4 linked regions of the Anolis sagrei genome follow. The protein of the gene in region 4 binds, or shares a complex with, the protein of the main gene of each other region. Links are inferred from orthologs where the notes say so. Each region holds a gene or a part of one and is shown on either strand. Other genes may lie near its edges. The genes, in order: TCTE1, IQCG, DRC7 and GAS8.

Evidence for each region.
Region 1: GAS8 (region 4) and TCTE1 share a complex: the UniProt entries of both Homo sapiens proteins name them as parts of the nexin-dynein regulatory complex. The link is inferred for Anolis sagrei from reciprocal best matches to the Homo sapiens genes DRC4 and DRC5.
Region 2: GAS8 (region 4) and IQCG share a complex: the UniProt entries of both Homo sapiens proteins name them as parts of the nexin-dynein regulatory complex. The link is inferred for Anolis sagrei from reciprocal best matches to the Homo sapiens genes DRC4 and DRC9.
Region 3: GAS8 (region 4) and DRC7 share a complex: the UniProt entries of both Homo sapiens proteins name them as parts of the nexin-dynein regulatory complex. The link is inferred for Anolis sagrei from reciprocal best matches to the Homo sapiens genes DRC4 and DRC7.

The regions. Positions count from the first base shown.
Region 1 is NC_090021.1:48,122,857-48,130,148, forward strand, and holds the start of TCTE1 (dynein regulatory complex subunit 5), read left to right. Parts: upstream 1-4,285; 5' UTR 4,286-4,552; intron 4,553-7,292. UniProt on the Homo sapiens protein: Component of the nexin-dynein regulatory complex (N-DRC) a key regulator of ciliary/flagellar motility which maintains the alignment and integrity of the distal axoneme and regulates microtubule sliding in motile axonemes.
Region 2 is NC_090023.1:267,626,619-267,633,946, forward strand, and holds the start of IQCG (dynein regulatory complex protein 9), read left to right. Parts: upstream 1-4,326; 5' UTR 4,327-4,347; coding exon 4,348-4,382; intron 4,383-7,328. UniProt on the Homo sapiens protein: Component of the nexin-dynein regulatory complex (N-DRC), a key regulator of ciliary/flagellar motility which maintains the alignment and integrity of the distal axoneme and regulates microtubule sliding in motile axonemes.
Region 3 is NC_090028.1:5,375,174-5,382,792, forward strand, and holds the start of DRC7 (dynein regulatory complex subunit 7), read left to right. Parts: upstream 1-4,608; 5' UTR 4,609-4,643; coding exon 4,644-4,798; intron 4,799-7,619. UniProt on the Homo sapiens protein: Component of the nexin-dynein regulatory complex (N-DRC) a key regulator of ciliary/flagellar motility which maintains the alignment and integrity of the distal axoneme and regulates microtubule sliding in motile axonemes.
Region 4 is NC_090028.1:28,333,323-28,341,260, forward strand, and holds the start of GAS8 (dynein regulatory complex subunit 4), read left to right. Parts: upstream 1-4,926; 5' UTR 4,927-5,010; coding exon 5,011-5,013; intron 5,014-7,938. UniProt on the Homo sapiens protein: Component of the nexin-dynein regulatory complex (N-DRC), a key regulator of ciliary/flagellar motility which maintains the alignment and integrity of the distal axoneme and regulates microtubule sliding in motile axonemes.

The sequences.
Region 1 (7,292 bases), on a different chromosome or scaffold from region 4:
GTCTATTTCTCTTTTTCTAATGATACGCTACTAAAAACTAGGAATAAAATCACACAAGCCTATTTTTAATGGTATGCTGTAGGCCATGAAAGGATCTGCCAATTTATTATGTTAATATTATTTGTGTATTGTCGAAGGCTTTCATGGCTGGAATCACTGGGTTGTTGTAGGTTTTTTGGGCTATATGGCCATGTTCTAGAAGCATTCTCTCCTGACGTTTCGCCTGCATCTATGGCAAGCATCCTCAGAGGTTGTGAGGTCTGACCTCACAACCTCTGAGGATGCTTGTCATAGATGCAGGCGAAACGTTAGGAGAGAATGCTTCTAGAACATGGCCATATAGCCTGAACAATTTACAACAACAAAATATTATTTGTGTTTAAACACACGGCATTTGAGTGAGATAATGTGTTCACACATGTTCATGTCTATCAAATAGCATCAGAAATATTAATTTAGAAATGGAATTTTAGCAAAAATTATACAGAGATAAACAATTGACCTCTAAAGCCATGGGTTTTTGCAGGTTGTTTCTGAGGGTACTTCTACACATGCTGCAAAACCCAGAAGTAACAGAATTAAAAGTAGGTGTGTGTGGCTAAACAACATTTAGCCAAAGTGCAGGAAGGATCGAGTTAAGAGGTTAAAAGCACATGTTAAAAAGGTACACTCAAAACCCAATTCGACCTGAAAAAGGTGCACCTCTGCATGATCCTTGCAGTCATGCAAAACACATGCTTTCCTTCCCTCCTCCCTGTTTGATATCCACAGATAACTAGGAATATCCTTTATTAAATGTGATAGCAGGGGAAAAGGGGAAAGACTTTGGCCCCTTCCACACAGCTGAATAAAATCCCACATTATCTGCTTTGAACAGGAATATATGGCAGTGTGGACTAACCCAGTTCAAAACAGATATTGTGGGATTTTCTGCCTTGATATTCTGGGTTATATGGCTGTGTTAAAGGGCCCTAGGTTTGACATGGGGCACATCTACAACAATCACTTAAGGCAGCTTGAATCCAACTTCAAACTGTGGCAGCTACAAAATGTATGCAGCCAAAACATGCCGCAGCATGACTTAAAGGGTTTAATTCTCTACTTCATCACACTAGAGAATTAATCCACTTTCTGCCTCTTGCAGAATTCTGGGGTTTGTAGTTTAGTGGGGCTGTAAAAGGTTCCTCCCTAAATTACAAACTCCAGAATTCTGCAAGAGGCAGCAACCGGATTTAAAGTGGATTCATTCTCTAGTGTGATGAAGTACCAAACAAAGTTGCAGGAAAGTTAAACCCTAAAATGTGCTTTAATGAGCCCCTAATATTAAATATTATTTATTAAACATTAAATATATAATATGGCAAAATAGCTCCCTAAAATACAAAGCACATTGTAGACACCTGCCTGCACTAAAGTGCATTTTACCATTTGGGAAGGATAGGGTGGCTGTCGAAAAACACCCCAAGGGCATAGCTGTGCAGCAAGGGACTACATGATCCTTTGGGACTGGTGATTAATTATCTCCACTACTACTTAGTACTTATGCGATCCCTTGTTGGACAAGTAGGATAGTCTTCCATGATCAGTATTGTTGTGGATCCATAGGTGGCTGTGGAGCCCTATTCTTGACCTATTCTCCACTAGTAATTATTACTTCACCCCCCACCCCCCCGGGCACATATGTCTCCACATCTCTAGTGGGCATCTCACAGGATATTTAGGGGCATGGCACTGTGGATGTGGAACCAGTTTAAGGCCACCTTCCATCTGTCAATGTAATCAATCACCTTCCTGGTCTTAATCCTGTTCTTGTCAAGTCGAATAGATCACCTGCACAATGAAACCAATTTCTGCCAAACCAACTCCAAAGTGACCTAAGTTGTCAGTATAGATATGACCTACATATCAATATTTCCCGTGTCAAAATGACTGCTTTGCTGCCCTGCCTGCTGTTTCCCTTTCCACAAAAGCTTCAGAGAATTGGTGTTTCTTAATGGAGGTATGGTACACTGCATCAATGTATCCTATCTCTTTATCTAAGTTGCATTTCTGACTGTTACTTATGTTGTTATTTTGCTTAAAGGAGAGCCTGTCAAAGAGATTAAGCAAGACATATGACCTACTGTACCTTTCAATTGCTCTGCTTCACTGGAGAATGTCTTATGGCATTTGCATTGCTCTTGAAATACTGTTCTACAAACAAAGAGTACTTAGAAGTACCTAGCCACTCATTGCAAAAATGAACTTTATAACAATATTTTATACAAGAGGTTGTTCAATTATTGCAGTTGTTACCACTACTTCCCTAATGATCTTACTGAACCCTGTTCATATCACTGGTAGAAATTAAGATTAGCTGAGGAAATAAACATTATTTTCCTACTTCTTTTATCTACTATTTCAGTATTTGATTTTTATAGTAAGGAAAGCATTAGTAAAGGTTTTCCCTTAACATTAAGTCCAGGAGTGTCTGACTCTGGGGGTTGGTGCTCATCTCTATGTCTAAGCCGAAGAGCAGGCGTTGTCCATAGACACCTCCAAGGTGATGTGGCCAGCATGACTGAATGGAGAGCTATTACCTTCCCGCCAGAGCAGTGCCTATTAATCTACTCACATTTGCATCCAGCCTGTTTAAAAGTTTCCAAAGAAGGAGCCTCCACCACACTCCAGGGCAGAGAGTTCCACAGCTGAACGGCTCTCACAGGCAGGATATGATATACATTATTATGATTATATAACTGTATTACTTTCGTGATCACAGGCCATGCTCTATTAAAGAGTCTGGGGAGGGATAGCCCATTTGCATATATATATATATATATATAGAGAGAGAGAGAGAGAGAGAGAGAGAGATGAATATAAACCTGGTGGCACAATAGGTTAAAGCACTGAACTGCTGAACTTGTTGACTGAAAGGTTGCAGGTTTGAATCCGGGGAGCAGCATGAGCCCCCGCTGTCAGCCCCAGCTTCTGCCAACCTAGGAGTTCGAAAACATGCAAATATAAGTAAATCAATAGGTACCGCTCCGGCGGGAAGGTAATGGCACTCCTTGCAGTCATACTAGCCACATGACCTTGGAGGTGTCTATGGAAAACACCAGCTTTTTGGGTTAGAAATGGGGATGAGCACCAACCCCCAGAGTCGGACATGACTAGACTTAATGTCAGGGGAAAACCTTTACCTACCTATAAACCCATTAACAATAAAAAGTGCAAACAACCAAGCAGATGGGTTCCACTCAGGTCATAAAGCTCATTGGCAGTCAATCAAGGCATCACATTCTCAGTGTTTATATTTAATCGACACAGAATGTCCTTCCAAATGGAAAGTTGAGGAGGAGGCAAAGACAAGTCATCCAGCACATTCATTACTCATTGCTTGTTAGACTGTTGATCACTCTCCCATTGTGGAACCCAAACATTTGGGATAAAGGAGACTCTGGGTGCATCTACACTGTAGAATTAATGCAGTTTGACACCCCTTTAAGACCTTGTAGATCTACAACCCCCATTATTTCATTGCATTTGAGCCCTGCCAGTTAAAGTGCTGTTGAACTGCGTTTATGCTACAGTGTAGATGCATCCTCAACCTGCATTTAACAGCCACATCAAGAAGATGATGTCTCCTTCTTAGGAAAAAACAACACTCAGGGTGCCAACAGAATAGCCAATCAGGAGGCGCTCTCAAGGGAAAGGGGCGGGGCTTGGTTTCATCTCATCCAGAAATTCCTGCTTCCAAGCTATCGCACACACCTTGCCGTAAGCTCCGCCCCCAGGCGGTTCCTCCCGCCCATTTCTGAAAAAAAAGCAATGGGCGGCTCCCGCCTGCTGATTGGACATCACCCTCGGCTCGTGCCTCTAAGGGGTGTGGTCTACGCTGTGAAGCCCCGCCCTTGGCAACGCTTCTCGTTTCCTTAGCAACGGACTGCTCTGCGGCCTAGACTGCCAGGTGGGCGAATGAAACCTGAGGGGACACCTGTTTCGAGGGTGGGGGGGACCAGGAAAGAGGGGCCTGGGACGTTCAGGCCAGTGAAATGTCGAGTCTTGGGTCCCTACAGGGAAAGAGTGGAGGATGCAATAGAATTCAGAGAAGGACCTCAAGGACCTTTCCCACCACAGCTGCTTCAGCTGAGTGGGAGAAAGGAAAGGGGCTGGGGCTGTTAGGAATGCTGGGAGTTGAAGTCCAAAACACACGGAGGGCCCAAGTTTGCCCATGCCTGATCTATACTGTAATGGATGCAGTTTAGGCCGTCTTAACAGCCATAACCGGGATTATGGCGCAGCTGGCTGAGTGTCAGCTGCATTAAGATCACTCTGACCAAAAGGTCATGAGTGGGTTTCCAACCAATTGTGTGTAGCCTGTTGTCGACCTTTGCAACCTGAAAGACAGTTGGGGAGGCTAAATTAACTGATTTATGAGGCCATAAAGAAGACTCCAGCAAAGCATTCCAGCGGGGAAGCATGCAGGAATGCGGAGGTGCTTCATCAGCGTCGCAGATGGACGATGAAAGCGACAGCTCCCCTGGCGGCCAGAAAAAGTTAAATAGCCTCTGTATGTCTGTATATGTTTGTATGTCAAAAATTGGCATTGCATGTTTGCCATATATGTGTACACTGTAATCTGCCCTGAGTCCCCTGCAGGGTGAGAAGGGTGGAATATAAAAGCTGTAAATAAATAAATAAATAAATGACACATTGCTATAGAATTACGGGAGCTGTAGCGTACTGATGATTGACCAAACTAAAACTCCCATGATCCCTTAGCATTGAGCCATACTGGGGTCAAATTACATTAATGTAAATCCTGTGGCTGTCTCCTGCAGAAGCTTGTAGTTTAGAGAGGGGCCTTTAAAATGCCCGGCCAGCGAGGTCCTGGGCCCCACTGATCTACAAACCCCGAAATGAAGAGTGTTGTTTTTTGGGGGGTTTTTTTGTGAAATAGAAATTCATTTTTTTCCATTTTATTTCTGCCCCCGGAACTAAATTTTCTGCTAAAGAAGTAATGTCTGTGGATCACATCTACTTTGCTAACTGAAGTGTGCCTGCAATAACTGCAGAATGCAGTTAGGTTTTCATGATCAGCCAGGTAAACCAGCAGCAAGTTTTCTCACACTGAGTCCGCAGACTATTAGATTATCTATTTCTCTGGTAAAGTAAAGGTAAAGGTTTCCCTGGACATTAAGTCTAGTCATGTCAGACTCCAGAGAGTGGTGCTCATCTCCATTTCTAAGCCTAAGAGCCAGCGTTGTCCGTAGATTCCTCCAAGGTCATGTGGCTGACACGACTGCATGGAGTGCTGTTGCCTTCCCGCAGAAGCAGTACCTATTGAGCTACTCATATTTATATGTTTTCAGACTGTTAGGTTGACAGAGGCAGGGAGCTCACCCTGCTCCCCGGATTCAAACCGCCAACCTTTCAGTCAGTAAGTTCCACAGCTCAATAGTTTAATCCACTGCATCACCAGGGGGCCCTTTGTCTCTGTAGGCAGCAATAAATTAGGTAATGCTTCCACATACTGTGGTTTTTTTCTGAGCTATATTTTGTATAGTCTTGAACCTTTTCTTTTTGAGGAGCCTATTTATCCTTAAACACTTCAGTTTAGGCCAACTTTTCATTTTCAGTTTTCTTTTTTAAAAATCAGTAAATGTTGCTGTTAAGAAACATGATATTCATCTCTCCATTTCAGTTGTGATTTATATATGTTGTTGCAGCTTCTTGATTGTATATTAGTACACTCTCTTTTAATGGAAATCTATGTGAGTATGCTACTGAGATTGTGTTTGTTTCTGTATATTACAACTCACTTGAAAACTGATGTGAAATAACTATTCTCCCTAAACTATCTTGCTCCCATTAGAAAATATGGTTATATTCATTCCTAGGCCCTATCTACACTTTGAAACTATAGCATATTGTAGAGGAATGTAGAGAAGACTTATATAATACCGTTTAAATGCATTATATGGGTCTATACAAATTCTATAATGCAGTTTCAAACTGCATTATAAGGCATTGTAGATGGGGCCTAAAGAATGTGAAAGCAATATAATTTGAGCACACATAATCTGCAAAACTCCAAAATTGTCCTCATGGGTGGCTAAGGTAGTGACATTTTTTTTTTTTTTTTTTTTTTGCTTTCTAATGGTTTACTGTCCAAACTTTGTTTCATGGGCATTGTTTTTTATATTGCATAAAATTGCCTTCAGGCTATGTGTATATGGTGTGCATGAAACATAGATGAATTTTCTGATAAGACTTGGGACTCATCTCCAAGATAACTCATTATGTACATACAGGCAGGCCTGTAGCGAGGGGGGCGGTTTAGGGGTTCAATCCCCCCCCCAAATGTTTCAGATTTTTTTAAAAACCTGGTTTACTCATGAATTTTAACTGGTTAACCAAATCCCATTGCTAAGTCTATGAAATACAAAAAATTAAGAGTCCCTCCAGAACTATCTCAAGCAAATATTGACAATTTATTCACACTGTCATTACTTGCAGCAATAGCCGATGTAGTGAAGCAACCAAATTGTGGTTTGTGTGTTGAATGCTCTCATTAAGGAGGCCAGACTTGGTGGAGATGGTTGACAGGGACGGAGCTGCAGGCTATTGAAGGCTGCTCTGGCCCCTGCTGTATTCTTTGCTTCAGCGTGAGCTAGGAGGCAGGTTGCAACCCCCCCCCCCGCACGAAAATTTGAAACCCCCCTTGCAAAAATGTCAACCCCCCCCCCTGAAAATTTCACCCCTCCCCGTGAAAATTTGAAAACCCCCCCCGTGAAAATTTCAACCCCCCCCCCCCCCCCGTGAAAATTTCAACCCCTCCCGAAATTTTTTTCTGGCTACGGCCCTGCATACAGGTATTCCAAAATCCAAAACAATTGTGGTCCCAAGCATTTCTGATAAAGGATATCCAACCTTTAGTGCATTTCTTATCAGCAGATTTCTGAAAGCATGACAATTTAACTAAAGTTCTGAATGTTGAAAAGCAACTAACAAATGAAACCAATGAGCTAAATGCTTTAGGAGTCTGTCCCGACACAAATGGGAAAAAAATACAACGCTTTTTTCTTTTCTAGTTTTAGGATTCATTATCTGGCCCGTTCACAAATATATGTGAATAATTTAGATTGGGGAATCAGTTATATATTTGGCACTGAATTTTTTCTAACAGTCACTTTGTAGTGTAGATTACTGGGGTCTGAAATAGGTGGAATATATTATTATTTTCTCACTCTCCTAACAGCATTTCAGCATGGTCATTAATGCATAATGTTAGGAAACTATATGTGCCT
Region 2 (7,328 bases), on a different chromosome or scaffold from region 4:
ATCATTGTCCAGTTGCATCGTCAGTCATTCCATATATTCATTTACGTCTAGTTATGCTCTAGTAGAAAAAGCTTGCTTGAAGATCCAGGTCTTAACCATTTTGCGGAATGTTAGAATGGAGGGGCCACCACTGAGATGGCCCTGTCTCTCATCCCCAATATGATATATTGTATGTATATGTATCTTGTAAGCTACTCTGAGTCCCCTTCGGGGTGAGAAGGGCAGCATATAAATGTTGCAAATAAATAAATAAAAAAATAAATGATGAAGGACATGTTTTTGTATCTTCTCTTTTTGCCATTCAGTGGCAATTTGCAACTGAAGTAAGTTGAGGACAAAGGAGGAGAGAAGAACTAGAATGTTTTAGCAACAGCAAACAAAGCGGGATGATAAAGGATTAATTGGGACTATTTAAGGGTGCATTTATAATATAGAATTAATGCAGTTTGAAATCCCTTTAACTGGCTCAATGTTATGGAATCCTGGGAGTTGTAGTTTTGTTAGGAAGCAGTCTTCCTTGGCAGACCTTGTAAAACGACAACTCTGAGGATTCCATAGCATTGAGCCAGGGAAGTGAAAGTGGCATCAAATCACATTAATTCTACAGTGAAGATGCAGCCAGCAGTGAATTTCTTGTTTAGACTTCGGTTCCATTTCTATTATGGCAGAATTTAAAAACAAAATTAAAGATTCTTCTCTTCAGGCAGGCCTACCCAATCAAACCTGAATCACAAGTTTTTAATTTGCATTGCATTGTCACTATATGTTGATTTCTATACCCCATGTATGTTCTTAATTATAGTGTTTTTATCTGTGTATTTTATGTTAGTTTTTCATCGACTTAAATCAAGAAATAGTTTTCTAAGATCTACAGAGACACTTGCTGGAACACCTCAGCAAGCGAGAGTCCAAAAGTGGCAGGCTCAAACCCAGAACCTCAACCAATGGCTGATACCAAATGAGAGAGTCCCTCCTGGGCACACAGAAGACTGGGTGACTTGGAAGGCACTGAACAGACTGCGCTCCACAAGATGCAAAGTCAACCTTAAGAAATGGAGCTACAAAGTGGAATCCACAACATGCGAGTGTGGTGAAGAGCAAACCACTGTCCACCTGCTGCAATGCAACCTGAGCCCTGCCACATGCACAATGGAGGACCTTCTTGTGGCAACACCAGAGGCACTCCAAGTGGTCAGATACTGGTTCAAAGGACATTTAATCAACTACCAAGCTTGCAAACTTTGAGTTTTGTTTGTTTGTTAAAAAATGCAATGCAACTGTTTGGTCTGCCTCTGACACGATAAATAAATAAATATGTTAGTTTGTCTTGATTTTATTCAGGAATGGGCAAACTTCAGTCCTCCAGGTGTTTTCGACTTCACCTCCATTAGGCTTTTAGGAATTGTGGGAGTTGAGGACCAATAATAATAATAATAATAATAATTCCTTATTTCTAGACTGCCCTCTCTCCCCGGAAAGACTCAGGGCGGTTTACAAAATATATGGAGGGAGGGCCGAAGTTTGCCTACGCCCATTCTATGTTGTATCCTGCCTCGAGCCAAGGCAGAGAGTATAAATAAAGTGTACTATTGTGTTGTTGAAGGCTTTCATGCCCAGAATCAATGGATTGCTGTGAGTTTTTTGGACTGTGTGGCCATGTTCCAGTTGATTTCTCTCCTGCTTCTGTGGCTGGCATCTTCAGAGGTTCTGTTGGCAATGAAGCAAGTCTATCTATCTGCAGAATGTCCATGGCGGGAGGAAGAACACTTGTCTGTGAATGTTGCAATTAGTAAGAATTGAGTAGCCTTTCACCTGCAGTATCAATCTGTGAAGTTATCTGCTTAGAGGTGGTTAACAGTATTAAAAAAAAACACCAGAATTAGGATAGTAAATAAGGAACACCACTCAGAAACAGAACTCCAGATAGCAAACAATCAAGAGCCAATTAACACCCCCCAGAGGATGTCTCCAGGCAACAAAGAGCAGGCTCCCTCTATGCCAGTGGTTCCTAGCCTTTGGGCCTCCAGGAATTTTGAACTTTAGCTCCCACAGTTCCTAACAGCTGGTCCAAAACACCTGGAGCCCAAAGGTTGGGAACCACTGCTCTATGCAGATACCTTACCATTGACTTTACAGCTTAGTGGCTACTCAATGCTATTCAAGCTTGCTAATTGCAACATTCACATTTGTGTTAAGCAAACAAGGGTTCTTTCTTCCACCTTGGACATTTATCCCACAGGTTTATATATATATATACTAGCCGTCCCCTGCCGCGCGTTGCTGTGGTCCAGTCTCTGTATTTGTGTTTTGTGTGTGTATATATTTTTATTTTTGTGTATATATGTGGTTTTGCGCATGTGTTCTAATGTTTTGGTTTGGTTTTTTTGCTTTTTATGTCTTTTTTGCTGTGTTTTTCAGTATTTTCATGAGTGATGGTTACTTCTTGGCCTGATACGTGTATTGTGTCCAATTTGGTGTCAATTTACCCAGTGGTTTTTGAGTGATGTTAATCCCACAAATGAACATTACATTTTTATTTATATAGATGGATATATATTGTAAATAAGTAATTATATTTATTATAGTAGCATCACTATTTCAATATTATTATATTGTATTATGATTAGCACTATATTGCATTACATTATAATATTATTATCAATATTACATGTATATACAATATACTAAATTAGCATAACACACTATTAGTATTATATATTTCTATATTGTAGCATAGCACTATACTGCAATCTATATAAATAAAAATGCAATGTTCGTTTGTGGGATTAACAGAACTCAAAAACCACTGGGGGAATTGCAACCAAATTTGGCCACAAGACACCTACTAACCCAAGGAGTGACCATCACTAAAAAAAAATGAGTTTGTCATTTGGGAGTTGTAGTTGCTGGGATGTATAGTTCACCTACAAACAAAGAGCATTCATAACCCCACCAACGATGGAATTGAACCAAACTTGGCACACATTTCTCCCATGACCAACAGAAAATACTGGAAGGGTTTGGTGGGCAGTGTCCTTTGGTTTTGGAGTTGTAGTTCACCTACATCCAGAGATCACTGTGGACTCAAACAATGATGGATCTGGACCAAACTCTACACGAACACTCAATATGCCCAAATGTGAACACTGGTGGAGTTTGGGGGAAATAGAATCTTGACATCTGGGAGTTGTAGTTGCTGGGATTTATAGTTCACCTACAATCACAGAGCATTCTGAACGCCACTGATAGAATTGGGCCAAACCTCCCATACAGAACCCTCATGTGGGCCACTGCAACGCTTGGCAGGTGACGACTAGTGTGTGTGTGTGTGTGTATATATATATATATATATATATATATATATATATATATACACACACACACATATGTGATATATATATATATATATATATATATATATATATATAAGTAAAGCACAATATTATATATTACTAGCTGTTCCCTGCCACGCATTGCTGTGGCCCAGTCTGTTGATCTGGAAAATAAAGTAATGAGAAAGTGTTGGTTTCTAATATATGTAATTTCTTTATGCTTGTGGATAAACAGTATTTCTTGTTGTTTCTTTGTCAGTGTTGATGTGTCTTTTGTCCCACCCTGGTCATTCCACAGATATATAAACCCCTTTTCCTACTTCCAACAGACCACACTATCTCTGAGGATGCTTGCCATAGATGCAGGCGAAACGTCAGGAGAGAATGCCTCTAGGACATGGCCACATAGCCCGAAAAAAACCACAAGAACCTAGTGATTCCAGCCATGAAAGCCTTCGACAATACAGGCCTTCCTTCCTTCCCTTCGTCCCATGGAATCAGCCAGCTAAGGCGTAGAAACGAAACTAGGCCAGGCCGCAGCATCCGGCCTCCATCCACGGCATCCCACCGCCTTCCGCCGCCATCCCCGGCTCCTTCCACTCCTCAGACCTCGCTTCACCCGCCGACCCCACTCGGGAGCCGCTTTCCCCGCGGTTTCCACGGATTCCTCCCCACGAAACGCGCGCCCCCCTTCCTCACCTCAGCAGCACCGGCCCAAGATGGCGGCAGAAAGAGAGAGCGGCGCCGCGGTGCAAGCCGGGATAGGGGGACAAAATCGCCAGGACCCCTTCCTTGTTTAGAGATAGGTGGTTACGCTATTCGCCTGACTGAAATATCACAACATTTTGGGGGGTATTTTAAAAAGTGGAATTTAAAACTTCGATTTGGGTGTTTGATTTCCAATATCGAGCTTTTATTTCATCCTCTGTAATTTAACGATTTTTAAAAAATGTCAGGCTTTTATATAGACAGCCTTTTGCTAATGTGAGGGCCCCACAGGAAGTGAGTGGTAACCATGGCGACGTCAAGCTGTGCAAGTGATACCTCTTGGTGAGTGAGTCCCTTCAGAACGGTTCTATTGAGTTGAGAGGGTTTTTCACACAGGAAAAGCATTCAGGAAACATTTGGGAGAAAGCAGCAGAAATTCCAAACACAAAAAGAGGGAATGCAGTGAATATTAAGATGGAAACTATCCCAAGAGAGGAGGCCTCAAGGCCTTCACTAAAGTTAGGCCTCAGGAAAAGGGAAGAACAAATTATCCATCTATCTATCTATCTATCTTTACTTACTTAGGCAATCCCTCATTGTCCAAGTAGGATTGTCTTCTCTCTTTCACCTTCCATTTGTGCCTCTTCAAATTCTGCAGCACTGCTGGTCACAGCTGACCTCCAGCTGGAGCGCTCAAGGGCCAGGACTTCCCAGTTCTCAGTGTCTATGCCTGTGCAGGTACAGCTGTACCAGGAGCTCCAATTTTGTTTGCTTTGCATTGAATGTTTGTAGTCCTAAGTTTCAGGGACTCTGCAGATAGGTGGCTTCTTTTGGCTGCAATCATAGGGCAAGCCACCAGTCAATTATAGTTAGGTTCCCTGGTCCCGCCCCCTTTGGGTTTTTGGAGGGAATAGGAGCCAGTTTGGGTACAGTCCACACAGAGAAGGTTTTCGCACAGGACATAATACCAAGAGCTCCTGTAGAAAGCTTTGTCCATTTTTCAATCTCTTTTCATGTCTTCCAACATTCAATTTTCCGTTCTTGAGTTCGGAGTAGAGTAACTGCTTTGGAGACGGTGGTCGGGCATAATAATAATAATAATACTTTATTTATTTGTTTATTTTAAAATAAATAAAAATAAACGAAACAGAGTGGCAACAATTATGGAGACAAAGACATTAAAAAAATTATCAATACGTGTTAAAGAAAATTATTATAAGTTAATATGGAAGTGGTATCTGACACCAGTAAGATTAGCATATATAAATAAAAATAATTCAAAAAATTGTTGGAGAGGATGTCAAGAACCAGGAATATATATACATATGTGGTGGCAATGTAAATATGTAAATAATTTTTGGGGGAAAGTATTTAGAGAAATAGAAGATATAATGAACATTAAAATTGAGAAAAGCCCTAGTATAGCTTTATTATATAACAATACACAATGGAAAAAGGAGGATAAAGAAACGATAACAAACTTATTAACTATAGCAAGACTGCTCATAGCAAGGAATTGGAAAAAAGAAATGAATATACAAATAGAGGAGTGGTATAAGGAAGCATGGAAAATAGCAATAAATGATAAATTGACATGTATATTAAAAGTTCAAAAAGGTATATGGAAACAAAGTGATTTTGATGTTGTATGGGGAAAATTTGTAGTAAATGGTTTAAAAAACAAAGAAGGAAAGTTACCGTCACAAGAAGAATTGAAATTTTGGACAGACGATATGTAAAAGTTGTGGCTTGATATGGGGGGAGGGGAGCACAGTGGTGGGAAACAAAGGGGGAAAATGCTTAAGTAGAATAATAAGATTATATGTTAAAGAGTGTGTTGAATAATATGTAACTGCTATAACCAAACGCATAACAAATGTAATAACTATGATAAAAAAAAGAAAACCAAATTCTGCAGTACTGCTGGTCACAGCTGACCTTCAGCTGGAGCGCTCAAGGGCCAGGACTTCCCAGTTCTCAGTGTCTATGCCAGAGTTTTTGAGGTTGGCTTTGAGCCAATCTTTAAATCTCTTTTCCTGTCTTCCAACATTCAATTTTCCGTTCTTGAGTCCGGAGTAGAGCAACTGCTTTGGCAGACAGTGGTCGGGCATAATAATAATAATAATAATAATAATACTTTATTTATACCCCGCTACCATCTCCCCAAGGGACTCGGTGCAGCTTACATGAGGCCAAGCCCAACAGTACATCAATAAACAAAAGCAATAACAAAAACAATCAATACAATACAATTAATATAAATCACATAAACAATAAACAGTAACACACAAGAATTTAAAAACCTATGGCCGGGCCAAATGTAATAGTTTAAAATTTAAAAAAATAACGCTGAGCATGAATAAGGTAGGATATAACTGGTATAGGGTTTTCAAAGAGAGATGAGGGAACGCAGTCAGTCCTAAATCAGTGGTAAAGTGCATTTTGAGGGCATATTGCTGAGAGTTTTCCTTATTCTGGGAAGGCACACTGGAACAACCACATTTTGGGGCCCCTCCTAAAGACTGCCAATGTGGGGGCTTGTCTGATATCTTTAGGTAGAGAGTTCTAGAGTCGGGGGGCCACCATAGAGAAGGCCTTCTCCCTCGTCCCTGCCAATCGTGCCTGCGAAGGAGGTGGGAGCGCGAGTAGGGCTTCTCTAGATGATCGAAGAGATAATGTGGGTTCGTACACAGAAATGCGGTCATGCAGGTAGGCGGGTCTCAAACCGTTTAGGGCTTTGTAGGTAAGAACCTACAACGTGACCGGTCCAGCGGAGTTGATGGCAGAGGAACATCGCTTCAATGCTGGTGGTCTTTGCTTCTTCCAGAACACTGACGTTTGTCCGCTTGTCTTCCCAAGAGATTTGCAGGATTTTCTGAAGGCAGCGCTGATGGAATCGTTCCAGGAGTTGCATGTGACGTCTGTAGACAGTCCACGTTTCGCAGGCATATAGCAGGGTTGGGAGGACAATAGCTTTATAAACAAGCACCTTGGTCTCCCTATGGATGTCCCGGTCCTCAAACACTCTCTGCTTCATTTGGAAAAAAGCTGCACTCGCAGAGCTCAGGCAGTATTGTATTTCAGTGTCAATGCTGACTTTTGTGGAGAGGTGACTGCCAAAGTAGCGGAAATGGTCAACATTTTCTAATGTTACACTATTAAGCTGTATTTCTGGCATTGGAGAGGGGTTGGCTGCTGACTGCTGGAAGAGCACTTTGGTTTTCTTGATGTTCAATGACAGGCTGAGCTTCTCATATGCTTCTGTGAAGGTGTATAGAGTGGCTTGTA
Region 3 (7,619 bases), about 23 Mb from region 4:
TTCCCAAAAGCAAATGTGATTTTTGAAATTTGGGAATAACTACTATGTTGGATCCTTAGGAGCTCTCCAGCACATATTATAGTATTATATTATATTATATTATATTATATTATATTATATTATATTATATTATATTACTAGCTTGGTTGCCTGGGTTATTTGAAAAAGTCAATTTTCTTAATTGTCTCAAATGCATAAAGTTGTGGGGGAACTAGAACTCACATCGTGTCAGGTTAACCCTGAGAAACTCCATCCGTTCTTAAAGCTTGTTCTGGATGCATCATCTGGATGCATCATTCAGTGTACTCTCCGGCTGCAGGGTAAACTACAACTCCCACTATGGTGAGTCATTCCCCTCAAACCCCTCCAGTAGGTTGGGTTAGTCATGGGGTTCTGGGTGCTAAATGTGGTCCAGGTCCATCATTGGTTGAGGTCACAGTTTCTCTGGTTGTGAGTGAACTACAACTCCCAGAAAGGAAGCTCCTTCCAACTACCTCTAGTAATCAAATTTTGGAAGGAGAAGGAGGAGATGGAAATGAAGATGTAAAAAGGAAGGAGAAAGGGTGGAGATGGAGAGATGAAAAAGGAAGGAAGGAAGGAAGGAAGGAAGGAAGGAAGGAAGGAAGGACAAGAAAATGAGATGGAGATGGAGGGATGAAAAAGGAGGAAAGGAAGGAGATGGAGAAATGGAGATGGAAGGAGAAGGGGAGAGATGAAGAAGGAAGGAAGGAAGGAAGAGGAGGAGATGGAGAGATGAAAAAGAAAGGAAGGAGAAGGAAGAGATGGAAATGAAGATGTAAAAAGGAAGGAGAAAGGGTGGAGATGAAGAGATGAAGAAGGAAGGAAGAACAAGAAAATGAGGTGGAGATGGAGGGATGAAAAAGGGAGAAAGGAAGGAGATGGAGAAATGGAGATGGAAGGAGAAGGGGAGATGGAGAGATGAAGAAGGAAGGAAGGAAGGAAGGAAGGAAGGAAGGAAGGAAAGAAAGAAGGAAGGATGGAAGGAAGGAAGGAAGGAAGGAAGGAAGAGGAGGAGATGGAGAGATGAAAAAGAAAGGAAGGCGAAGGAAGAGATGGAAATGAAGATGTAAAAAGGAAGGAGAAAGGGTGGAGATAGAGAGATGAGGAAGGAAGGAAGGAAGGAAGGAAGGAAGGAAGGAAGGAAGGACAAGAAAATGAGGTGGAGATGGAGGGATGAAAAAGGAAGAAAGGAAGGAGATGGAGAAATTGAGATGGAAGGAGAAGGGGAGATGGAGAGATGAAAAAGGAAGAAAGGAGGAGGAGGAGATAAAGAGATGAAAAAGAAAGGGTGGAGATGGAGATGGAGATATAAAAAGGGAGGAGAAAGGGTGGAGATGGAGAAATGAAAGAAGGACAAGAAAATAAGATGGCGATCAAGGGATAAAAAAGGAAGAGAGGAAGGAGATGGAGAAATGGAGAAGGAAGGAGAAGGGGAGATGGAGAGATGAGGAAGGAAGGAAGGAAGGAAGGAAGGAAGGAAGGAAGGAAGGGAAAGAAAATGAAATGGAGATGGAGGGATGAAAAAGGAAGAAAGGAAGGAGATGGAGAAATGAAAAAAAAACCAAGGAAGGAGAATGAGATGGAGAAATGAAAAAGAAAGGAAGAAGGAGGAGATGGAGATATAAAAAGGAAGGAGAAAGGGAGGAGATGGAGAGATGAAAAATGAAGGAAGGAAGCAAGCAAGGAAGAAGAAGAGATGGAGATGGAGGGATGAGGAAGGAAGGAAGGAAGGAGATGGAGAAATGAAAAAAAACCAATGAAGGAAAATGAGATGGAGAAATGAAAAAGAAAGGAAGGAGAAGGAGGAGATGGAGATGAAGATATAAAAAGGAAGGAGAAAGGGAGGAGATGGAGAGATGAAAAACGAAGGAAGGAAGGAAGGAAGGAAGGAAGAAGAAGAAGAAATGGAGATGGAGGGATGAGGAAGGAAGGAAGGAAGGAAGGAAGGAAGGAAGGAAGGAAGGAAGGAAGGAAAGAAGGAAGGGAGAGTGGGAGGGACGGAGGAAAAGGAAAAGGAAAGGATTGCACGAAAGGAAGGAGGGAAAGAAAGGGAGGAAGGAAGGAAGGAAGAAGAGAAAAGGACTCTTGGGCATTCAGTCTGTTCTGAGTGTGAATATAAGAGAAGACTTGCCCATTTGCCCTCTCCATGGCCAATTCTGGGTGGCATCCTTTGCCCAACTAGAGAAGGGACATCCAGATGGCTATTTTCTGTCTTTCTCAGGAAGGTCTCCATTGCCCAAGGAAGCCCTTGCAGGCTACCAGCTTAACCTTGGTGCATAATTGTCATATTTTCCTCCTAAATCAACTGAGATAAAGGATGTGCTAGAGGCCCTATTCTTGCCTTGTTATCTCCCAGCACAAAAAAACAACAACATCGAAGGGCAGCTTGACCTGATGAAACACAACCTCCAGCCCTTCCTTCCTTTCTGTCCTGCTTCTCAGTGTTTGTTGACGTTCCTGAATGGCCTCTCCAACAGGAACACTGGAAGAGATTATGATGTGGGAGATATCAAGGGGCAGGATAGAGAATGAATATATATATATATATATATATATATATATATATATATATCCTGACAATGAATTTTATGAAAAACACAGTGGAAGAGACTTAAAGAAATACAAAATACGTTACAATGCTTGTGCAAAACCACACACACACGTAAACACACATAATATTTTGTGACCCAATTCTCCTTAATGTTCATTTGTGGAATTAACATAACTAAAAAAAACAAAACACACTGGACGAATTGACACCAGATTCGGACACAAGACACCTCTCAGGCCAACGAGTGACCATCACTCATAAAAACACTGAAAAACACAGCGGAAGAGACTTAAAAAGCAAAAAAAAAAATACATTACAACAAATGCACACAAATATATATATATATATATATGCAAACACACCTATATACACATCTATACAAATATATACACACTCATATGCACATTAGGCTTGGGCGGTTTCGTTCATTAATTTCGTAATTAGTTATTAATTTGTATTTAAATTAGCTTACGATCTGATATTGAGCCATGCAGAAATAGTGTGAGGAGTAAATTAGATTCGAAACAATTTTTTCAATTTATTTCGTAATTATTTTGTAATTATTTTGTAATTATTTCGTAATTATTTCGTAATTATTTCGTAATTATTTTCACATGTCTGGTGCAAGTTTTATAGTTGTTGTTTGTTTTATCACACCAACAGTCAACAACAGAGGGAGAGGGAAGCTTCAGAAGTTCCCCCTGTCCCATTTGGAGGTTTTTTTAGCATATTGTGCAGTTGCGTCCGCAATTAACGAATCGATTCGTAATTATACAAAACTTCGTATATTTCGAAATTTTTAAAAGGAAAATTTTGGAATTATTAAAAAAAAAACGAAACGCAAGGGCCCCCTAAAAGCAAAACGAGTTTAGAACCAAATTTTTCCGTGGTTACCCAAGCCTAATATATATATATATATATATATATATATGCGCAAACACACCTATCTATACAAATATATACACACTGATATACACATAGCACATATGTGTATATTGTTGTTAATTCGTTCAGTCGTCTCAGACTCTTCGTGACCTTATGGACCAGCCCACGCCAGAGCTCCCTGTCGGCCGTCACCACCCCCAGCTCCTTCAAGGTCAGTCCAGTCACTTCAAGGATGCCACCCATCCATCTTGCCCTTGGTCGGCCCCTCTTCCTTTTGCCTTCCACTTTCCCCAGCATAATAGTCTTCTCTAGGCTTTGCTGTCTCCTCATGATGTGGCCAAAGTACTTCAACTTTGTATATTTGTGTGTATAACACACACAAATATACACATAATGCAAACACACAAAACAAATGTACACAGACTGGGCCACAGCAACGTGTGGCAGTGGACGGCTAGTATAAATAAAAATGTAATGTTTGTGTGTGGGATTTCAAAGCTCTCTGCTAGAGCAGTGATGGCACGATCGTCAGCATAGATGAAGCTCTCCGTCCCTTCTGGCAGTGGCTGGTCATTTGTGTAGATGTTGAACATGGATGGAGCAAGCACGCTCCCCTGAGGCAGGCCGTTCTCCTGTTTCCGCCATCTGCTTCTCTGGCCCTGGGACTCAACAAAAAAGCTCCTGTTTTGTAGCAGGTTTCCTATGAAGCAGGTGAAGTGGTAATCCTTTGCGATATAATACTTTTTTTTCTCAGGAAGAGGTGATGATTTACAGTATCAGGTTGGTTCATCAGGTGCTAATCAAGGTGGTCAGTTGAAGCATTCACACCTAGCTCCAGCAGACAACAGTCCTTTGTCCCACCCTGGTCATTCCACAGATATATAAACCCATTTTCCTACTTCCAACAGACCTCAATAACTGAGGATGCTTGCCATAGATGCAGGTGAAATGTCAGGAGAAAATACCTTTGAAGACAGTTCCTTGAAGGAAAATTAGTATAATGTCAAGTTTATGTTTTTTTCTATACATTATAGCCGTGTTCTTAATTTGCTTCTGATACGACAAAAAATAAATAAACCTGTTGCATCCTTAAAACATCAAAATATTCAAATATATGACAAGAGAACCCTTCCTTTGATTCCTACAGGCTTTCGCTCCCTAGGTTTTGCAAAGGACCGGCAGCGAAATGGATACAAGCGAAGAAAGCTACGGACTCCAAGGAGAAGAAGAGGAGGAGGAGGAGGAAGACGATGAGCTGAGTTCTTTCAATCTCAGCGATGAAGTCCAAGACTTGGAGGAGCAGCTCTCCCAGATCCAAGTCCATATCCCTGAAGTTTTATAGTAAGGAGGAAGGAGAGGAGAAAGGGAGGAAAAGGAGGGAGGATTGCATTATGTAACTGTATTCGAAAAAGTTTCTGTTCCTGCTTTGAAAGCATTATTTCCTGTTTAATGGTGTGGTCCTTACTTTGAAAGTAGTTGTTCTACTCCAGAAACTTTGTTTCTGTGGCAGAAACTATGTTAAACTAGCTGCACCCACCACGCGTTGCTGTGACTAACCTTCCCTCCCTCTTTCTCTCCTTCCTTCCTTCCTTCCTTCCTTCCCTCTTTTTCTTTTCCTTCCTCTTTCCCTTCTTCTTCCTTCCTTCTCTACCTGTTTCTTTCCTCCCTTCCTTTGCTCTTTGGTTCCATCCTACCTTCTCTCTTTCCTTCCTTCTCTCCCTCTTTCTCTCTTTTGTTCCTTCTCTCCTTCCTTCCCTCTCTCCCTCCTTCCTTCTTTCACTTTTTATTTTCTTCTCTCCTTCCTTCCTTCCTTCCTTCCTTCTTTTCTTCTTTCCTTCCCTCCTTCTCTCCCTCCTTTTCTCCTTCCTTCCTTCCTTCCTTCCTTCCTTCCTTCCTTCCTTCCTTCCTTCCCTCTTTTTCTTTCCCTTCCTCTTTCCCTTCTTCTTTCTTCCTTCTCTACCTGTTTCTTTCCTCCCTTCCTTTGCTCTTTGGTTCCATCCTACCTTCTCTCTTTCCTTCCTTCTCTCCCTCTTTCTCTCTTTTGTTCCTTCTCTCCTTCCTTCCCTCTCTCCCTCCTTCCTTCTTTCACTTTTTATTTCCTTCTCTCCTTCCTTCCTTCCTTCCTTCCTTCTTTTCTTCTTTCCTTCCCTCCTTCTCTCCCTCCTTTTCTCCTTCCTTCCTTCCTTCCTTCCTTCCTTCCTTCCTTCCTTCCTTCCCTCTTTTTCTTTCCCTTCCTCTTTCCCTTCTTCTTTCTTCCTTCTCTACCTGTTTCTTTCCTCCCTTCCTTTGCTCTTTGGTTCCATCCTACCTTCTCTCTTTCCTTCCTTCTCTCCCTCTTTCTCTCTTTTGTTCCTTCTCTCCTTCCTTCCCTCTCTCCCTCCTTCCTTCTTTCACTTTTTATTTCCTTCTCTCCTTCCTTCCTTCCCTTCCTTCCTTCCTTCCTTCCTTCCTTCTTTTCTTCTTTCCTTCCCTCCTTCTCTCCCTCCTTTTCTCCTTCCTTCCTTCCTTCCTTCCTTCCTTCCTTCCTTCCTTCCCTCTTTTTCTTTCCCTTCCTCTTTCCCTTCTTCTTTCTTCCTTCTCTACCTGTTTCTTTCCTCCTTTCCTTTGCTCTTTGGTTCCATCCTACCTTCTCTCTTTCCTTCCTTCTCTCCCTCTTTCTCTCTTTTGTTCCTTCTCTCCTTCCTTCCCTCTCTCCCTCCTTCCTTCTTTCACTTTTTATTTCCTTCTCTCCTTCCTTCCTTCCTTCCTTCCTTCCTTCCTTCCTTCTTTTCTTCTTTCCTTCCCTCCTTCTCTCCCTCCTTTTCTCCTTCCTTCCTTCCTTCCTTCCTTCCTTCCTTCCTTCCTTCCTTCCCTCTTTTTCTTTCCCTTCCTCTTTCCCTTCTTCTTTCTTCCTTCTCTACCTGTTTCTTTCCTCCCTTCCTTTGCTCTTTGGTTCCATCCTACCTTCTCTCTTTCCTTCCTTCTCTCCCTCTTTCTCTCTTTTGTTCCTTCTCTCCTTCCTTCCCTCTCTTCCTCCTTCCTTCTTTCATTTTTTATTTCCTTCTCTCCTTCCTTCCTTCCTTCCTTCCTTCCTTCTTTTCTTCTTTCCTTCCCTCCTTCTCTCCCTCCTTTTCTCCTTCCTTCCTTCCTTCCTTCCTTCCTTCCTTCCTTCCTTCCCTCTTTTTCTTTCCCTTCCTCTTTCCCTTCTTCTTTCTTCCTTCTCTACCTGTTTCTTTCCTCCCTTCCTTTGCTCTTTGGTTCCATCTTTCTTTCTTTCTTTCTTTCTTTCTTTCTTTCTTTCCTTCTTTCCTTCCCTCCCTCTTTCTCTCTTTTTATCCCTTCTCTCCTTCCTTCTTTCTTTCACTTTTATTTCCTTCTCTCCTTCCTTCCTTCCTTCCTTCCTTCATTCATTCATTCCTTCTTTTCTGCTTTCCTTCCCTCCTTTTCTCCTTCCTTCCTTCCTTCCTTCCTTCCCTCTTTTTCTTTTCTTTCCTCTTTCCCTTCTTTCTTCCTTCTCTACCTGTTTCTTTCCTCCCTTCCTTTGCTCTTTGGTTCCATCCTACCTTCTCTCTTTCCTTTTTTCTTTTTTTCTTTCTTTCTTTACTTCCCTCCCTCTTTCTCTCTTTTTATCCCTTCTCTTCTTCCTTCCCTCTCTCCCTCCTTCCTTCTTTCACTTTTTATTTGTTGTTTTATTGTAGGTGAACTATAACTCCCAGCAGCAACAACACCCAAATCTCAAGGTCTATTTCCCCCAAAATCCACCAATATTCACATTTGGGCATATTGAGTATTTGTGCCAAGTTTGGTCCAGATCCATCATTGTTTGAGTCCAAAGTGCTCTCTGGATGTAGATGAACTACAACTCTCCAACTCAAGGTCACTGCCCACCAAACCCTTCCAGTATTTTCTGTTGGTCATGGGAGTTCTGTGTGCCAAGATTGGTTCAATTCCATCATTGATGGAGTTCAAGATGCCCTTTGATTGTAGGTGAACTATAAATCCCAGCAACTACAACTCCCAAATGTCAAGGTCTATTTTTCTCAAACTTCATTATTCACATTTGGACATATTGAGTTTTCTTGCCAAGTTTTGTCCAGATCCATCATTACTTAAGTCCACAGTGCTCTCTGGATATAGGTGAACTACAACTCCCAAACTCAAGGTCAATGCCCACCAACCCCTT
Region 4 (7,938 bases):
TTATTATTTATACCTCACTTTTTCTCCCCACAAGGAAACTCCTATTTGTATATTTATATTATTATTATTATTTTACTGACACAAATACACAGTATGTCACAGCAAACGAGATCTCTATGCTGGATTTCGTATCACAAAATCACAAGTTGAACACTTCCCAAGCGTCTAGGACTGTGTGATGTATTTTCGAATGATGTGTGCAGATCCAAGTCAGGTGGCCTTTTGCAGTTGACAGAGAGATTTTGTCAATGTTTATTGTTTCCAAATGCTGGCTGACGTCTTTTGCCATGGCACTCAGTGCACCAATGACCATTGGGACCACCTGTACTGGTTGATGCCAGAGGCTTTGCAGTTCGATTTTGAGGTCCTGATAGCGGCTGCATTTTTCCTGTTGTTTTTCCTCAATGCGACTGTCACCTGGTATGGCGACATCAATCATCCAAACTTTTTTCTTTTCCACAATCGTGATGTCTGGTGCATTGTGTTCCAAAACTTCCAATAATAATAATTATAATTATAATTATAATTATAATTATAATTATTATTATTATTATTATACCTCACTTTTTCTCTCCACAAGGAGACTCTATTTGTATATTTTACAAAGCCAATAGGAAAGAAATCCACTCCGGGTTTTACTTTGGACTTCAAAGGAGTCTTCTAAGGTGCTGAATGGCTGCTAGAGGCTCAGGACCTTGGAAAGCTCCTTGAAGGTATGAGGTAAAACTGGGACTGGATTCCCCATTTCACTGACATGGGGCCCACTGTTGTGTACCATTGTTGTTATTTTGACTGTTTTGTTTTGCCCTGGTTTTATAGGTCTCAAATGAGTCCCTTTATGAAGATAAAAAATGGGATTAATATAAAATAGATTAAAAATATTGCCTTTTAATAATGTATTTTAATGCTGGTATTATAGGAATTTGGTTTGCCTCAACATTTAAAAAAATGACTCCATTCTGTACAATTAGGTTTTTTCTCACAACTAAATTTTCAGTATAGTGTAGGTTGAGGCTCTTTCATCTGAAATGTTTTTAATATGTTTATTTCTGTTCACATTTGGGACTTTGGAGGATTTTGAAATATGTATCTTTGCTGGGTTGTTGTAGGTTTTTTTAGGCTATGTGGCCATGTTCTAGAGGCATTCTCTCCTGACGTTTTGCCTGCATCTATTGCAAGCATCCTCAGAGTTTGTGAGACCTCACAACCTCTGAAAATGCTTGCCATAGATGGAGGCGAAACATCAGGAGATAATGCTTCTAGAACATAGTCATTTATTGTACTTTATTACATATATTATAAATATATATATTATATATATAATTATATATTATATAATTATAATCATTATTGAGCACTCTAACTGGAGATCAGCTGTGACCAGCAGTGCTGCAGAATTCAAAGGCACGAATGGAGGGCGAAAGGGAGAAAGGTGACAAGAGTAAGGCATGTCAAGCCAACCCAGACTGGGACCACCTTCTGCCTGGAAACCAATGTCCTCACTGCAGGAGAACATGCAAACAAGAATAGGTCTCCAAAGCCACCTATAGACCCACCACCAAGACACTACACTAGAAGGACCATCATCCTCGGGCTACAAGGGATTGCATAACTAAGTAAATATTATAATATTATATATTATATAATAATTTTCTTGGAGCTGTCGTCCAGTGAAGATCATGTCTACTGTTCCTCTGGAGGGTCGGAAGCCATTCTGAGATTCTGGTAGGGTGTCTTCCCAGGTAAAAGGTGGTTTCCAAAGATTCTTGCAAGGATTTTCCCACTGGAGGTCAGAAGGGAGATGCATCTGTTGTTTCCCCTTTTTTGAAAAGGGTGATGATGGTGACATCCTTGAAGTCTTCTTGGATTTTCTTAGTCATCCACATGTTTTCAATGAACTGGTGGATTTGTTGTATTAGCTCAGGTACACCCTCTTTAAAGATCTCAGCAGGGATCCCATCAGGTCCACTGGCTATGTTATGTTTTTGTTGGCTGGACGTTGCTGACTTCCTCCAAACCAGGCAGGGCTGCAAGCTCATCCCTGGTTAGTTGTTGTGGGATTTGTGAGAGAACAAATCAGGAGGTTGTGGTAGTGCTCTTTCTAACGTAGTGCAATTGATTTTTTGTCCTTCAGAAGTTTGGTTCCATCTGATGAGTGTAGGAGGGTGTATGCCATGATTTCTTGGTCTGTAATTACCTTTGTGGCTTTAAAAAAATCCCTGAGCATCATGGATATCTGTACAAGGAATCTGTACAAGGACCAAGTAGCAACAGTAAGAACTGACCACGGAACAACAGACTGGTTCAAGATTGGGAAAGGCGTACGGCCAGGCTGCATACTCTCACCCAATCTTTTTGCAGAACACATCATGCAATGTATGCAGAACACATCATGCAATGTGCGGGGCTTGATGAATGCAAAGCTGGGGTGAAAATTGCTGGAAGAAACATTAACAACCTCAGATATGCAGATGACACCACTCTGATGGCCGAAAGCGAGGAGGAGCTGAGGAGCCTTCTAATCAAGGTGAAAGAAGAAAGCGCATAAGCTGGGTTGCAGCTAAACGTCAAAAAAACCAAGATTATGGCAACAAGAATGATTGACAACTGGAAAATAGAGGAAGAAATCGTGGAGGCCGTGACAGACTTTGTATTTCTAGGTGCAAAGATAACTGCAGATGCAGACTGTGGCCAGGAAATCAGAAGACGCTTACTTCTTGGGAGGAGAGCAATGTCCAGTCTCGATAAAATAGTGAAGAGTAGAGACATCAGACTGGCAACAAAGATCCGCCTAGTCAAAGCCATGGTATTCCCTGTAGTAACCTACGGATGTGAGAGCTGGACTTTAGGGAAGGCTGGGCGAAGGAAGATAGATGCTTTTGAACTGAGGTGCTGGAGGAAAGTTCTGAGAGTGCCTTGGACTGCGAGAAGATCCAACCAGTCCATCCTCCAGGAAATAAAGCCCGGCTGCTCACTGGAGGGAAGGAGACTAGAGACAAAGTTGAAGTACTTTGGTCACATCATGAGGAGACAGCAAAGCCTGGAGAAGACAATTATGCTGGGGAAAGTGGAAGGCAAAAGGAAGAGGGGCCGACCAAGGGCAAGATGGATGGATGGCATCCTTGAAGTGACTGGACTGACCTTGAAGGAGCTGGGGGCAGTGATGGCCAACAGGGAGCTCTGGTGTGGGCTGGTCCTTGAGGTCACGAAGCGTCAGAGACGACTGAACGAATGAACAACAACAACATCATGGATATCTGCAAAGTGTTGGATTTCTTCATTGAACATCGAGAAAACCAAAGTGCTCTTCCAGCAGTTACCTGCCAATCCCTCTGCAATGCCAGAAATACAGCTTAATGGTGTAACATTACCTTGGCCGCCACCTCTCCACAAAAGTCAACACTGACCCTGAAATACAACACCACCTGAGCTCTGCAAGTGCAGCATTTTTCCAAATGAAGCAGAGAGTGTTTCAGGATTGGGACATCTGTAGGGAGACCAAGGTGCTCACTATGAAATGCAGTTGTTTCATACTTTATAATACTTTATTACAATTGATTACATATATTATGTGATATTATAATATATAATAATATAAAATTATTAGATATATAATATATTGTTATTATATATGATATTATTTTTTGTTTATTTCGTATCAAAAGCATTGCATAAATTAGTAAAAAAAAACTACATTACTGCATAAATTAGAAAGATACTCCACTTTGGCAGGAAAAACGAAATGCAAAGATACAGAATGGGGGATGATGCCTGGCTTGAGAGCAATACGTGTGAAAAAGATCTTGGAGTCCTCGTGGACAACAAGTTAAACATGAGCCAACAATGTGATGTGGCGGCAAAAAAAGCCAATGGGATTTTGGCCTGCATCAATAGGAGCATAGTGTCTAGATCTAGGGAAGTCATGCTACCCCTCTATTCCGCTTTGGTTAGACCACACCTGGAATATTGTGTCCAATTCTGGGCCCACAATTGAAGAGAGATATTGACAAGCTGGAATGTGTCCAGGGGAGAGCGACTAAAATGATAAAAGATCTGGAGAACAAGCCCTATGAGGAGCGGCTTAAGGAGCTGGGCATGTTTAGCCTGAAGAAGAGAAGGCTGAGAGGGGATATGATAGCCATGTATAAATACGTGAGAGGAAGCCACAGGGAGGAGGGAGCAAGCTTGTTTTCTGCTTCCCTGGAGACTAGGACGCAAAACAATGGCTTCAAACTACAAGAGAGGAGATTCCACCTGAACATGAGGAAGAACTTCCTGACTGTGAGAGCCGTTCAGCAGTGGAACTCTCTGCCCCGGAGTGTGGTGGAGGCTCCTTCTTTGGAAGCTTTTAAACAGAGGCTGGATGGCCATCTGTCAGGGGTGATTTGAATGCAATATTCCTGCTTCTTGGTAGAAAGGGGTTGGACTGGATGGCCCATGAGGTCTCTTCCAACTCTTTGATTCTATGATTCTATGACTACATTATATATTATTATGTATGCTATTATATATTATAATATATAATAATATAATATATATAATATATGAAATCAGTTAAAATATAATCATACTTATAAAGTATTATAATATATTATGAGCATGCTTATATTTTAATGGATTATATCCAAAATGTAATATTATTATATGTAATAATATACAATACCATAATAATATATATTATAATATTATATAGAATAATATTATCTTATGTAAAACAATAATATCATTATTATAATATAAGGAAATTCTGCATATAATATTTTAAATAGTTTTTTGGGCATGAATCAAAGCTTGTGTCCATTGTAGGAGCCAATTGGTATCAGATGAAGAGCCAAAGGGTGAAAAAAAACACCCTCCTTCTCCCTGTAACTAGGGGCGGGGCCTCGTTGCTAGGGGCGCGGCTTCTTGGCCAAGGGCGGAGCCGAGGCTCTCGCGAGATTTGGGCTACGGTTGCTTGGCAACCAGAAGACTCTGGGCCTAGTCTTCTAGAGAGACACTGAAGCCGTCACCATGGTGAGTCTGTCCAGTGGGAGGGAGAGAGTTGTGATGATGATGATGATGATGATGATGTAGGTTGTGTATATGGCCCACCTTAGTAGCTGAGAGAGTGGCTATGTCGTGGTTTGAGGGTTGAGAGAACAGGGGAAGCCACACTGTCAAATTAATGCGGATTGATTCCACTTCAGCGTCTTTAGCTCCATGCTATGGAGTCATTGGAGTTGTAGTTTGCAATCTTTGGGCAGAGAAGGCCTTGTGAAACTTCGACCCTTTCTACACTGCCATAGAATCCAGATTATCAAAGCAGAAAATCCACATTATTTGCTTTGAACTGGATTGTATGAATCTACACTGCCATAGAATCTAGATTATCAAAGCAGACAATCCACAATACCTGCTTTGAATTGGATTATATGCAGCTACACTCCCATAGAATCCAGATTATCAAAGCAGACAATCCACATAATCTCTTTTGAACTGGATTTTATGTATCTACACTGCCATAGAATCCAGATGATCAAAGCAGGCAATCCACATTATCTGCTTTGAACTGGATTATATAAATCTATGTTGCCATATAATCCAGTTCAAATAAGATAATCTGGATTTTATATGGCAGCGTAGAAGGGGTCTATGACTCCCAGGAACCATAGCACTGAACTGTGGCCTTTCAAGTGGGGTTAAACCGCATTAATTTTTCAGTGTAGACAAACAGTTTTGGGATTTGTCATCCAAAGAGATATAATACAACAAAGATGGACTTGATGGATTCTGGGAACTGCTGCCTAAAAAGAAAAGAAAAAAGAATATAATAATAATAATAAAGCTTTATTTATATCCTTCCCTATCTCCCCGAGGGGACTCAGAGTGGTTTACAACAGATATCGGCAAACGTTCAATGCCATGAGAAGCTGAATAAAGACAAAACTAACCAACTCCCCAAATCCCAAAAACAAATCCACATCTACATCAAAAATAATAACACATTATACTGCAATATTGCTACTAATATTATATGTAATATATACTATACACTTATCATATTATTGTATATTATTATATTGTACTATATTATCAAACCACAATGTATATCATACACTACCAGTACAATATACTATTAGTATTATATAATATCCCAATTTGTTTTTAACAGTGTTGTAACTGCAAGGAGAGGCGGGTAATAAAATAATAATATTTATTATTATCATTCTTATGACATCCCATCTTTTCTGGTGGATGGAGCTCCTGATAGCGCAATGGGTTAAACCCCTGTGCTGGCAGGACTGCTGACCAAGAGGTCAACGGTTCAAATCTGGGAAGAGCGGGTTGAGCTCCCTCTGTCAGCTCCAGCTCCCCATGCGGGGACATGAGAGATGCCTCCCACAAGGATGCCTCCCACCAAACATCCAGGCGTCCCCTGGGTAATGTCCTTGCAGGCAGCCAATTCTTACACTAAAAGCGACTTGCAGTTTCTCAACTTGCTCCTGACATGGGAAAAAAAACCCTTTTCCGGCAACCTAGTCAACTTTGGACCATGAATTTTGGGGTTTGCATTCTCTTGCCATTGTATCTTGGTCCTTATACCATATGTTTTGGCGGATTTTGATATATGTATTTTGTTGTATGCGTTTTTGTTGATGTATTTTGACTTTTTATTATTGTTATTTTATTATTTTAAATCTTGCAGGCTAAATCTAAAAATATTCGCACACTAATCCAGGTGTGGGCAAACTTTGGCCCTAAAGGTGTTTTGTACTTCAACTCCCACAATTCTAACAGCGGTAGGCTGTTAGGAATTGTGGGAGTTGAAGTCCAAAACACCTGGAGGGTCAAAGTTTGCGCATGCCTGCACTAACCCAACAGATACATCTGTACATATACTAAACAAGCAACTACAGGAACAATTCTGTGAAGCTTACACTCATTAATGTGTTTTGACTGTGTTGTACCCTGCCTCAAGCCATTGGGAGAGGTAGGTAACAGGTACAATGTATTATTATTATTATTTTGTTATTGTTACTATTTTTTAATATTGCAGACTAAATCTAAAAAAAAAAATTGCACACTACCCCAAAACATACCTACACTAATGTACACAGACTGAACACACAACTACAGGAACAATTCTATGAACTCATACTCATTGTCTGTTGATTTTTATCTCTTACTAGCTTGGGTACCTGAGTTACTTGAAAAAGACATGGTTTGTTTTTGGATGTTATAAATGGACCAATTAGAAATTAGCAGGTTAACGGAGTTATCAGTTGTCTTTGGATGGGGTTAGCAGTACTCTTTGGATGAGGGTAAAGGAACTGCAAATCCCATTGTCCATGGACCATCTCCCCCAAACCTCAGCAGGACATAAAGTCTCATGAGGAGGTCTCTTTGCCAAAATTAGTCCAGGTCCATGGCTGATGGGGTCTGCAGCAGCCTCTGGATGTAGGTGAAGGAACTGCAACTCCCATCATCCAGGTCCTTCCCCCAAAAAGCACCACAAAGACTTAAAGTGGGTCATCGGGTATCTGTGTGCCAAGTTTGGTCCAGATCCATGGCTGATGGGGTTTGCGGTAGTCTCTGGATGCGGGTGAAGGTACTGCAAATCCCATCATCCATGGTCCATCCTCCCCAAACTTCATCAGGCTGTAAAATGGGTCATGGGGGGCCCTTCCAGACAGGCCCTATATTACAGGATCCAATCTCAGGTTTTCTGCTTATCTGGCAGTGAGGACTCATATAATCCAGGTTATATAACTGCCATAGATGTGGATGAAATGTCAGGAGAGAATGCTTCTGGGTTATAGGGCCTGTCTTGAAGGGCCCAGGGAGTCTGTATCCCAAGTTTGGTCCGGGTCCGTCATTGGAGGTCTGTGGAAGCCAAAGCAGTTGAAGGTACTCCAAATCCCATCGTCCATGGTGCATCCTCCTCCAAACATTACCAGG